Drosophila melanogaster: one gene and its partner. The protein of the gene in region 1 interacts with the protein of each later gene in a pairwise test. Each region holds a gene or a part of one and is shown in the gene's direction. Other genes may lie near its edges.

Evidence for each region. Proteins that work in one complex are often made in the same cells at the same time.
Region 2: the proteins of CG6576 (region 1) and CG32264 interact in a two-hybrid assay, tested with the Drosophila melanogaster proteins (one large-scale study listed by BioGRID).

The regions. Positions count from the first base shown.
Region 1 is NT_037436.4:8,752,628-8,758,773, forward strand, and holds CG6576 (uncharacterized protein), read left to right. Parts: upstream 1-3,361; 5' UTR 3,362-3,555; coding exon 3,556-4,359; 3' UTR 4,360-4,540; downstream 4,541-6,146. Other genes in the region: Fhos (formin homology 2 domain containing), read left to right, coding at 1,848-1,868.
Region 2 is NT_037436.4:3,783,283-3,790,860, reverse strand, and holds the start of CG32264 (uncharacterized protein), read left to right. Parts: upstream 1-2,900; 5' UTR 2,901-3,304; intron 3,305-7,578. Other genes in the region: CG32266 (uncharacterized protein), read right to left, coding at 6-17.

The DNA.
Region 1 (6,146 bases):
GATCTTTGGCCTGCCTTTCGCTGTCTTTCATTCATGAGAACATGACAGACCACATCTGTATCTGTAGGTGACAATTATTGTTTGCATCATACATACTTTTTGTGTCACTTGCTGGATACCCCATGCTCCCCGCCCTCGATTAGTATCCCACTCATCGATTAGTCAGCGATGCCAAAAATAATTAAATAAAATTATTCGACTTATAATAGACCGAAATAGCTACGACGGAATGAAGCAGCCTAAATAGATGTCGAATATTTTAGAGTTGCATTTTGTTAGCATTACAAGAATTTTTACGCATTTCCTTACATTGCGATAATTGAAATCGAGAAGCTGGCACATATAGCCGGTTGGCCGATTTATGTCAGATATATATGGGGACCAGATACACACGGGAATAAGAAACGATGAATCAATGAAGACACGAAGCCTTAAATGCTCTTTGTTATGACTATGGTTTTCTTTGTGGCCAAAAGTTGCACAATGTATTTCGAACTCTTGTAAAACTTAATTTCAAATGCTCTAAGTAGTTAATTTTAGAAATACATATTATTTCGTTAATTTACTTTTAGTTCTATTGTAATAATTAGGTTGTTTTGTTATATTTTATATTTTACTTGTCCGTTTAGCACGACCCAGAAAAATGCTTGTCCGTTCAAGAGAGAATCGGAATGAATTGTCCGTACAAAGGATCTGTCGAAATCCTTAAAGTTATGCTGGAACTAATAATGATACCCTCATTCAGGGTATGTTTAAAACATTTATTTGTTTCTCGATTGCAATTTACGAATGCGATCGCCGACTGAGGAGAGCCGGCAGAATCTCCGAGAGCTTCATCTCCGATCGAATCTCTCGCTTGCCGAAAATACACGCATACTCAAAGCGAGAGCGCCGGAGATTTTCCTCCACTCAGCTTTTCACGCAATTCGGTGCGAGGGAAAATCTCGGCACAAAAATATTTTCACTGCGGCCAGACAGTTTTCCTTTGACAACGCGCCGAGTCGCACATGATTTTCCTCTCGGCCGGATTCGCTGTGGTCCAACAAAAAGAACCGAGAACTAAAAACAAAAATCGCGACACAATCTTTCAGCGAGTGTGTGAATGTTGCTAAATTTATAAATAACAGCTTAAGTTGTGCTGCTCCCAAAGTAAATTGAAATAAAAGCAAAAGTGATACGCGTCCGTCGTCGTGAAACGGAAAACGCAGGCGATGGAAAATGGGAAAATAGGAAAAAATAAGAAAAATAAGAAAAATATCAACGCATAAATAAAGCGCGAGCCTCGCGTCCGATTCTGTCGCATTCGCCGGCTGCATTCCCAAATAGATCGGGGCGCTATAGTCTATATCTGCTCGTATGCCCTATAGGCATCGACAGTATATATCCCAAACCTGCCCGGTGCGTGCCGGTGGATTATGTAAAGTGACACACGGCCGATCCCGATACCGATCTCGGAGTATCGCCCAGCGCAAATAAAAGCAAAGGAAATAATAGTTTACTTAGCAGAAAAGAAATAAATACAATAAAATAAAATTGAATAAAATAGGGGAATGCAGAGAGAGTGTCGTAGAAATTTGTCGCACGCGCGCGATTTCAGTAAGTGCATCTAATTTATTTTGCATCTATTGCAATTGAGAGTCGGCATCCGGCAGATACGTTTTCGTAATTGTCGTCAGCGGTTCGAGTTCCTCCGTTTCGATCTCGCGCGAGTGTTTGCCAGATTGGATTACCAAACCCAGGCCATACCAAAATAAATTATACACCAATTTTGAAAGGGCGATAAACATACATTGTGACCGAATTTTGATCCGATCTGCGATCGAGGATCGCTTGCCAAGAGCAACGTAATGTCGTCCTACCGCAGTTATGTAAGTACTAGTTAATGCAGCGCCAACTATCCGTATCTGTATCTGCATAATACCTACTCGTACTATATAGTGTGTATCTCGATCTTTGTATCTTCGCTCTGTGCCTTTTTGCAATTCTTCGCATCCACGGATTTTGTTTATTTCTAATTTGTTGCCTTACCCCACACACAAGAGTATTTCGCAGATACATACGTATACGTTTTATATGGCAGATAAAATGTATCTGAATGTTCGCTCTCGATGTGGTGTGGGCTCCAGATCCATTGATAAACAATTTAGATACAAATTTGCTCATTGTCTGGTTTTTTGGTTGGGATTTGTGTCTAGTTGATTGTTCTAATTTCCTATCCACACAAATAGCACAAATTATGGCCGAGGTGTGGCTACTGAATGAACGAATTGTTGTGTTTGAATAGCAAACCAATGCATGAATAAATGGCTTTTACTTTGGCAAAGCAGGTTAAGTTCCGAATTTTAAACCTATTTAACTTGATTTATGTTAGTATTTGCGTATATGCACAGTTGTCAAAGGAATTAATTTTGAGTTATTTGACATACTTTATGGCAGATTCATTATTGATACTGACCAATGACTGACAGTTCCCAAGTAAACATTTTGTGTTATTTATTGAACTTATCATCATATTTATTTATATTATTAACCCGTTCGACATCATGTGATACTTGTGAACTTTTATATAAAAAGTGCATTATTTCTATATCTATCCTATAATATAAATACACTTAATTTCGGTTGTCATTCCCAAACTTCCAAATCGCTTTCTACTAATCCCCTTTATGTTCAACTCATTATATCCTTTTGTTCCCAGGCATCCAGTTTATGACTTTAGCCTGACTTTTGACTCATTGAGCATAAATCAATTAAATATTTTTCGGGTCTTAGAATCTAATAAACTGATCAATTTATGGGCGGCAAACAACAAGTTTCCACCCCATCCCACGCACATCTACCACTTCATCTTCTCCCGAGTCATTTCTCCAATTATATATAGAATGTTTCTAAAAATGTTGGGAGTAAAGCAAAATGATTTCTGTTTCGTTCACGTTGACGCAGTCTCTTTTTTCCTCATTGGAGTTGGTACTTTGTGTAGGATTTTTATGGCCAGAAGGAAGTTGTAAATATTTATGACAAGCATAAAGTTGAAAGTTCTCCGGTGAGAGCACGCACCACCTAATTAATTAACAAAGTGTGAATACTCATGCAATTTGTTTGTGAGGGGAGAAAGTAGGGGAACGGTAATGGAGAAACAATAAAGTTGCAAATATAACTAAAGCTTTTAACTTCATATTCAAAAAAAATAAGTATATATTATCATATAACTAAATTTATATTCATAATGTATTAGCGAAAGCGGTAATGATTAAACATTGTTTCGATTATTGATTTCATTAGAAATATCTCTACTCGTCACACACAATGCGATCACAATCAGTTTTCATTTGAATTATTCATCAAAACAGATCAAAATTTGTTGTAGTGTAGCACAAAGGAAGGCGGTGATAGGCGCTTCTCAAATAGGCTTCGAGATAAGGATTTATGAATCAAGCTATCTGAGTCCGAGATTATCCACGCACACTCACCCGTCCACCCAACTGCCACCCAAGCCCCCCACAACACTCGAACACAGACACAAGTCAAGGACATTTTTTGATAAAAAGATAAAAAATGACACGGCGTCGACGTCCACGATGTAAGGTGAATCCCTCGATAGCGCTGAGAAAGAAGAAACAGGAGACTGCACCCAGTGCAGAAAAGGTAGAGCCACAACGTCCACCGCCCTTGCCGGATCCGCCCAGCGAAGAGCCACCGGAAGTCGTCAGCACTTCGAGCGTAGAATCTGAAATCGAATCGGATTACAAACTCTTCCCGGAACTCTACGATCGCCAGCCGTCGATGCCCACGTTTGCTGATCTTTTTGGTCAGCCCTCTTATGAATCAGTGTTGCAGGAGCCCGAGGTGGCATCTACCTCCTCCTCAACGAACACAAATGCCGCGGGAATACGTAGTACAGACGATGGGAAATTCACTAATATTCCGGCCACGATGCTGTCAGATCAATTTGGGATCATTGGGCTGCTGGCCGCCATGAGGACTACGCAAACGGATCCGGGCGCCACGCAGCTGGTCTTTGGTGAGGATCTAACCACCTACGGACTAGATTTGGCTGCCCAGGGAGACATTTATGTGCATTTCAATGGGCCTCTAACCCGCGAACCACCTGACAGAAATTCCATGGACTGCGCCCTTGAGATGGGAATGCGTGCCATGCGTGATTCGATTATCAATGAACCACCGAAGGCTCCGTGTTGGGATCCATTTGAGCCAGAGACCCAAGATCTGGGACTTGTGGGCAGTCTTGAACCGGATGAGTTTACGAAATCCGATCCAGATACGGAAACGGATCCACCGCCAACTACTGATTTGACTGAAGATCCGGAAACGGATCGAGATGATAATCAGTATAGATAACACATTTGGAATCGGCGCCAAGGATAAAAAAGAAAGACTAGTCCCAAATAGAATAGCAATTTGGCAGTTGGTTAGATCTTTGAATACTTGGTAAAATTGTTGATCTTCGTGAATTGGTAGCCCTTCTGTATAAGAACTTGTTTGGCTTTAAATATAGAATTGGCTGAGGAGTAAAAACGGGAATAATTATTTGTTACGAAAAAAAGTGCGATTTAGTTATTTAAAATAAGGTTCGATTTAGTACATATATGTAAATATCGAAAAAAATTAATAAACATTCGGAAAATATCGAAAATGAATAAGCTCGGAATTGATTATAACTCATAAATTGGTTATAATCACTATAATTTTCAGATTAACTAATTTAATTTGTTTGGAAATTTATGTTTGAACGACTTTCTGGGGTTGAATATTTCATTATCCTTTTAAGCGCCGATCTCCACATAGTTGAGTTTCCCGAAACGCATTTTCGACACTTTCGTCAGAGCAAACTACAATAGAAAACGTATTTAAAAATAAATCATTTGTCTGGCAAGCGAATATTCAGTCGCCACTTCGAATCATCTGGGGTCACAGTCTAAATACTTTGTGAGTGGATGGCTTTCCTGGTCGTTCTTAATGGGCTGTGGCTACTGACAGACAGGCGCATTATAGCGCATCCTGCTCCTGATCTGCAGACTCCGAGATTCTGCAATCTCCTAATTGAGACCGCATAATAATGCTGTCAGAAGTGCAGCACTCCGCTGGAATCGGCGGTGAACAAAGTACACATGGCGAAGTCATTCCAGAGAAGATCCATAGGCCCATCCACATCCACACCATCACGATCCTCCACTCTTTTTCTCCTCCGGCTGAGTGTCTCCGTTTGCTTGTTTTGCACATTGTTGGCTATTTGTGTGTTTGGCATTCCATTTCACTGAGCGAAAACAATTAGCCGAGACTGTCTGTCTTTCTTTCTTCCTCACTCCCTCTCGCTCGCTCGCCAATTCTTCACATTGGGCGGGCGCCTGGAAATGTAATAATATTATTTTTTATTCCCGGATAGTTGTCATTCGCCGGGATGGGAGCCACTTGGGAAGAGCCCCCTATTTGAAGTGATTTACATCGAGAAATTCCTGAAAAGTATTTTCATGGGCGAATTCCACTACAGTCATGGTAGTTCATATAGGGCTAAGCTAAGTGGGATTCGATTAAGTTTCATCAATGAATACACAATAATTTATAATTTAGTTTAGCACATTTGCTGTAAGTATTGGGTTCAACAGCATTTTATCTCGTCATTAAATGTAATTTGCAATAATTAACCCAAAACGTTTGAGTTTGCCAAAAATCTGAAAACTGGCAACACGAATTTTGCAATTTTAAATGGGTGTCTGATCCTCAAAGATGTAGTGCACAAAAACCGCCAACCCACAGCCCCCCACAAACCAACCGGCCATCCTCAATTAGGAAAGGGCAAAGTGGTCGGGGCCCCCGCAATTTTCATTATATACGAGGAAAACTCAACGTGTGTCTCGATGGACGAGGGCAATCGTCTAATGCGCTGCGGCCGAGATTAGAAGGCAGATGTTGAAATAATCGAAATGAATCTGTTTACACGTCCAAATTAATTGAAAAGCGCGTGCAACAGCGCCATTTAATTGAAAATGAAATAGACTCGGCAGAAATCCCAAACCGAATCGGATGAAAAATGCATTGGGCGAGTTCAAAGAGGCACCAGTCCCAACCACAAATAGTCCATTGGGGGAATATGGGGGATATGGGCTATGCGCTATAAGATTCTTTGG
Region 2 (7,578 bases), 5.0 Mb from region 1:
CTCACAAACTTGAACATCTTGAATTGATTGATTTTGGTGGTATATCCGCTGATTGAACAGAAACTGATATGATTAAACAAACGCAGAAGCCCTGGCTTTTATAGTAAAACCTAAGTGGACTTTTGGCTTCACTATCGGCTTTGGTGGGCGGCCCACGAAAAGGGGCGGTGGGCGGTGGGTTAGAGGTCACTCTTGACCCTGGCACGTTTGCTCATTTGCTGTAGTATTGTTTTTTTTTCCTACTACGTTTCTGGCCCGTTTTAATTTGGCCCAAACGTCTTTATGGCCGCTTTGCGCTGCGTGCACTGCATTCTTAATAGCGCTTTTGTTTACCTATGTATGTTTTTTGCTAGATGTTTTTGGAGAAAAAAAATAAAAAATAAAAACGGAAGCAATCAGAAAAATTCCCTGAGCAAATGCAATTTGACCTCTGGCAATGTTAATTTGTGTTGGCCAGATTGTCAATTATCGTTATGACTGCCAGAGATTCCTTGCGCAGCTCCGAAATAGAAAATTCCAAGAGGAATTCCACAGCGAAGACCTCAGAGAAACGGGTTGCCTTGGCTACTTGGCTATGTGAGCCTCATTTTTCTTAGCCCTTTGCATTGCTGTTCCTATTGTTTAGATGCAGCTGATTGTGTTTACACTGCTCAAAACTTATAGTCTGATCACGAATAATACTCAAGGATATAGAAACATTTGCTTTAAATTAATCAAAAGTGAAAATAGAATTTTAGTGTTTAGATTGAAAATAGAAATTTTGTTTCAGTTTGGCGCCTTCTTTGCTGTTACGCTTTGCCCACTCCACAAACATTCAATTTGTCAAGTTGTTAAATTTTAGCAGCTTTTCAGCTGTGCCCCGCCCACTTTCCCAAGAGCGCCCACTTTCTTTGCTCTCGCCCATTGTTGAATGCTGTGCATTTTGCATTTTAAATACAATATAAATTAAGTTGGCAGCTTCTGGCATTGAGAACAGTTTTCGGCAAAGCTGCTGAATGAATGAATGGCAGCCCTTTTATCAAGATTCTCAAGTTAATTTTGCTGAAGGATAAGAAGTTCGGGGAAAATGGGCGGGGAAATCGAGGAAAAACTGACATTGAAGACGAATTGTTCGCTCGGAATGAAGTGGAATTTTATTCCGGTGGGTGGAAAACTTTCCTTGACGATTGAATAAAACGCTGAACTGTTGGGAGAACTCAAAAGCACAATACTATTTTAAAATAGTATTACCAAAGATGTTGGATACCATAAATGAGTTAAGCACAAACTCCATTTGTTTATAAAAATATAATGTGCAAATATGATTTCCAATTTATTTATCCATAAATAATGAAAACATTTAAACATAATATTTGAATCTTATAAATTGTCTCTTTAAATATTAAGTTCGTAAATATATTTGAACGATCATTTACAAAATTAATTTTCTTCGTATAGTTTTGGAGTCACACAAAACATCGGCGAGAAATTTCTCGCATGCGATAAACAGTAAATATTGCACTGCTTGAAGCAGTGCTTCGCAAACTTGCGGCGCCTCTCAAACTGCTATTGTTGTGCTCTCTCCCTGAAAATTTTCTCTCTTTGAATTTTCCATTCTGTTTTTCATTTGCGGACCTGCGCTTTTCATTTGCCGGCATTTCTGGAGCAACAACAAAATTCCAGCGCTGAGTTTTCCCCCTGCCATGCCCCCCTTTTCGTATTTATATATTTAGCTCTCATTAAATATTTTCAACTAGAGCGAAAGATACTTCCGTTTCCTGTTTTATAAAAATAGTACTTGCCATATATAAATATACATATTTACTATGTATATAAATATTTGTAACTATATATGAGGTAAATACTTACTTGACTTAATATAACTAACTAGAAAATAATTCAAACTCCTTATCAAATTCAAAGTAAAATTTGGGAAAATCTACCATTTAGTTCTTCTATATATTATTATATATAAGATTATACTAAAAGTTCACTTTTCCGAGCGCTCACTGTAGGGTGTTTTTGTAGTGGGCCTAAAAATAGGAGACGCCACCACTCGTGAAAATTCTTGAAGAGCAGTTTGGGAAATTCCTTACCGAAAAGTTATATATGGCCGAAAAGAGATTTGCCTTGCGCCATTGTTTAGTGAATTGAATTTTGGTTCAGTGTGTATTTGTTTTTGGAAAAACAAGGTGAAATTGCTTTTGAAGTGCGGTTGCTTCTTGTTTTTCTTTCGCTTCCCTCGAAAAGATTTTCATTTGCCGATTGCCTCATTGGATTTTGAGGTATTAAAGTTTTCGAGAGGGGAATTAGTATCGCATTATTTGGATGTTTCTGGTGCGGAATGCAAATTGATTTTCAATAGTTTTTCGACATTTTCCAGCTCGCCAGAGGAGGCGGCTTTCCACCCAAATTGGCAATTATCATCGGGTGGCGGAATTTGTGGGTGCGAAATGCAAATCAATGGGCAAATCTAATTCAATTTGAGTTCCTATAATCAACTGCTGTGAATGTGAAATGAAAGGCAGACGAAGTTCACTCGTCACTTGATTCAACGTCGTTTATTAATTTGATTTATATGACTTAATGATTAACCAAATATTTATCATATTGAAAAAGATTGACCATTTCGATTAAAAACAAAGATACAACTATATTATCTTTGTAATAATATTTCGATGCTGTTTATATAGCCACGTGTAAATACGATATGTTATCAAGAAATTTATTAATAGATATAAAATCGAGTTTGGCGCCAAATTAAATTTTGAATTTCCAGCCGCTCTCTTCTCGAGTGTGACCGCGCTGCCGACAAATGCCGCGAAACGGTGCAAATTCGGCCTTATCGGCCGCTAAGCAGCTGGCCACACTGCGGCATATAAACAATTTTTTGTCACAATTTTTTTGAGAGCAGACGAACGCACATCGAACGCCAATTGGGGATCGTAAAGTCGGAAAAACAGCGTCGCGCTCGCTTCGAAATAGAAAAAAAACACAATAAACATTAGGTCAAAATCGCATTGGCAATCTTTTAAGTTTCGATTTGATTTAATTTCGCGGTGCAAAGCGAAAGAGAATTTTGAAACGTTTGATTTTTGTTGTTTCGCCGCTCTCTTCGTTGTTGTTCTTTTTGTTGTTTTTTCCGGCGCGTCGTTTGGCGTTTTTAGTGTATGCGTGCGTGTGTGTGCGTAACTACGTGCAGCTGTGTGCGTGCTTCAGTTTGATTTAAATAAATTATTAGTGAAAAGCAGCTGAGAAGAGTAAAGAATACGAAAAAGTGCAAGTAAACGCAATAAAAATATTGCACATTAAATAATCAACAAGTGTAAGTGCAAAGCAAGTGATGTGCAAAATGCAAGAGCAGAGAAAAGAAAATAAAAGCAGAGAAAATGCAGAAAGGAAAATTGTTGTAACTTTTTAACAGCCCAATATCGAATTTAAGTGGCTATTAAAAATCGAAGATCGAGGCAAAGTGCAAAAGGCAACAAAACTACGAAAGCGCCCAAAAGGAAAATCCGGTTTTACAACTTCTCTCTTCACACACTAAACACACACATACAAAACACTCACACTCACACCAGCGAACAATCGAATTCTCTCTGAGAAACTAAAACTAAAATTCCTTTGCTGGGTTTTAATGAATTTTCTATGGGAATTTCACCAGCTAACGAGCAGCTAAAAAAATAATAATCGTAGATAAACAAATAGTGTGAATGAAAAATCAGCTGCGACAGGTGATGCAAAACAAAATACGCAAGGTGCAAAGAAAAAAAATACTTTCATGTGAATTCGATCACAGTGAACGCTCAGTAAAGAAGGAAGCTATTATCTGATCATATCATTATATTATTTAATTTAGAAAACAACTTTTAAAAATTACTTTAGATAATTAACTCATATGCTCATATCATTTGAAGTGCTAGAAAGTTTAAATAAATAGTTATCCATTTTAAAGCTCCACTGTATCTCAAGTATTTAAAAAACCATCCAGAAAAGTGAAATCAATAACAAAAGAATTTGAAAAAAGCGGAAAGAGCGGTCATAAAAATAGTATAAACAGAAAATAACAATAAACCAGTCAAAAAAATAAGCAGTTACCTGTCTCACTCTCTCTTTCCTTAATTCAAACATTTGCGTAAACAATAACCGCTTTACAGTAATTTCGGGCACCTGCTTTTTGTTTACACAAATGCATAAATATGTTGAATATGAATAAATTAATTCATTCAGCGTGTACGGGGCACGCTGCCTCGCTAAATGGAATTTTCACACGAAAAGTGGGAAATATGTGAAGAAAATATAGCGCCAACTTGTGTTATCTTATCCGTAACACAATTTTAATGATGGTGCAATTGAAAAAAATAGCAGAGAAATGTGCTACAATTGCTTCCTTATCAAAAAAGGTATTACCTGCCGGAAAGAGATAGTGGTAGTAGTGATAGGCGGGGAAAGAAAGAGATGGGTGTACGGTGTAGGAAATTACATATTTCATTATTTCCTCGCCCGATTTTTCCGACCAAATATTTTTATCTACTTACAATGTTGTCTAGACAGATTCCTTCGCTTTTCTTCCGTTTTTTTGTTGTGCCACCCATTTGTATATGTATGTACATAGATGTGTATAGGAAAAGTCTGGTAGTGGTGTGTATACTGCGAGATTTCGCACCCTCTCCTAGGATTTTCCTCTGCCGCCGCCTTTACTGCTTTTTGTTGTGCTCCAGACTTCAGTTTACTCCACTTTGCGACGACTTTCGACCCCCCCCCACACCCACAGCAGTGGCAGGCCCTTTTGTGAAGCACCCCCCTTTGCAGCATCCAGCAACCCCCAAAACGCATTCTCTGCTCCCTTTTATTGCCTTTCCTTGTTGTTTTCGGACAGTGGTGCTTGCCTAATTGAAACTAAGGCTGTCATAAGAAAAGAAGTCAAGACAAAAACTACACTTAGTTTATTCTGGGATTACCCAGCTATTAAACACAAATTGAAATATTGTGTAATTATAAACAACAGGACATTTTTCGAGATTCCAAATTCTTTGTTTACTGTAGAGCATCAGCTGTTATAGTCAGCTGACTCAACCGAAATGCACAGTGTGACCATGCTGAGCAACTAAAATAAAAAATTTTTGGAATCCCCGTCAGTTTACCATGTAGTTTACTAAAAATTCCTTAGATAATTGCATACTGTGGTGTTTGGCTTTGTGGGCGCCGTTTGCGCGCAATTTTAAATTTATGCGAACGTTCTGTCACCCTCTCTTTCTCCCTTCATATGCCCATCTCTTTCCCTTCTCCGGGATAAAGAAGTTTTGCCGAAACAACAAAAACAGCGGAGGATGACGACTCTTGTCCACCGTTTTGTTTGTGTTTTTGTCCATTGGTTTTTGCTGTCTGCCGCTGTTTTGCTTTTGTTGCTGCCATTGTCGTTGCAACGTCGGAAAGAGACGGAGCTACTGGGGAGCGACAAAGAGGGGTGCTGCAGACAGAGATAGCGAATTCCCAGTGAATTGTGAATTGCGTTCCATTAGCAGCAACCCCGAACACTTGTGCTTGTGGACTGTGCTGCATGGGCACAGTGGAATGGGTTGTATGACAATTGGAGGTATTACTGTGCACAATCGCAATATTTTCCCAATTTAATATTAGCAGATTGGCATTTAAAAAGGAATTTTTCTGTAGCTTAAACAAACCATTTCTGCACCTGATAGCTAATCCACCCCTAATTGCCCACTGTGCATCCCACTGTGCGACAGCTGCTGGTCAAAAGAGCTGATTGTTGTTGGTTTTGCCATTGCTGCTGTTTCGGTTTTTGTTGCCTTTTCTGTTTGTTGCTGCCTCCGTACTTCCTCCATCTCTGCCCCCCTTTCCTTCGTTCATTGAAATTTTCTTGCGGCGTTCGACAAATTTGTTGTTTAAAGTCGCGTGTGCTGGAAGTTGTTATTGGTATATTTTTGTTTTTTTTACGCTGCTGCTTTTACATAAACAATATTTTTTGTTGTACACAAAAGTTCTGCTTCCACCGTTTTTATCTGTGCGTTTTTTTCAGGATTTTTTTTCGCATTTAATTGGATTTGATTGCTTTTGGCTGGCGGCGGCGCCTCTCAAACGAAAAATCCATGAATCCGAGAGGCTTTTTTTTGTTGCTGCCGCAAATCGCATTAGTTTTTGTTACTATTTGGTTCCCAACGCTTTCCTTTCTGGTCTCACATTTATTTCGATTTTTTTTTTTTCGCAGCCCATTGTTTGGCTTTACAGGCGAAACTCCCTAAACCGGATGTTCCCATAACTTGAACTACATTTCTAGTACTAAATTGCAAAATTACCATTATCATTTAGGCATTTCTTGACTTCTTTCGGATCATTTAAGTATACTAGTTTAATAAAGGAATAATTAAAATAATAATCTACATTTTTTTGCGATACTTTAACATTGTGTGCTTTTATAAGATTTGTTTTAAATTTTTTTTTGCAAAGCCAGAGTTGCCCCAAAAATAAAAGTCGGGCCTCCCTCTCAGTGGGTGCATCTCTTTCTAGCCCACGCTGCTGCCGTCTCTTTCTCATGAGAATAAAATCGCTAAACTACTGAACTGTAAATGAGGTTCAATGAACTTGCCACAAGGCGAGTGGAAGAGAGACGGAGACTGCGAGCGAGCGAGAGGGGGAGAGTCGCTCTTTGTTGAAGCTTTTTCCTCATATTTTTTTTTTAATATGCGCCTGCTGACGTTGCAAGTTGCCCGCGTCGTTCCACATGTGCAATGTGCAATATGCAATATGTTGCACCCTGCCCACCACCCCCTTGATCCCCGCGCCGCTGCAGCCAACGCATTTGCTAATTTAATCGCCTCTCTTTCTTCTGGCGCCGTCTCTTTCGCACCCCGTTTCAATGGATGTTCATTAAAACAAATGCTGTCGACATAAAAAATAAGTTGTATGTTGAATTCATCGCTCTGACGAAAAAGTTACACATGAACATGAGTTTAATTAGTTATTTTATACATAGTAAATAGAAAATTCGTGAAATTCAAAATACATTTTATTTTACTTATCTGATTAAAGTACTTTCTATGTTAGCTGTGATGTTTTCAACAAAATGGGTGACTTTTATATATATTTTTTGTGGTGTTTTTTGTTGCACTGCCTTTAGCAACAAATGTTCAACATTCAACCCCCCACACCCCTCCCCCGTTTCCACGCCACTTCCTGAGCCCTCTTCAGTTTTCGCCTGGCCGCCTTTTTAATGCGAGTCGCGCGCCAAATCCACAAAACCGAAATAATAATAAAAAAAAAAGTAAAAAGTTAACTAACTGCCGACTCAAAACAGAATCGAAGCTAACGAGCCAAAAGTCAGTGCACTGGAACAAGCAACTCAAACAACCACAAAACATCGGACAGCGGACCACAAAAGCCTAGTTACAGTTACTCTTAGCCAAGATTTCGCCCAGCGCTGTTCTGGTTAACAACTCACTACGATTCCTATCGACTTTGTGGGCCAGCAGACTAGACAAGAAATACAAAAAATATTTATACGGGCACTTTTTTTTATGACGGACAGCCATTAAATGGGGCTTGAATTTGAGTTATTATCATATTGGGGAAAGTTTTCAT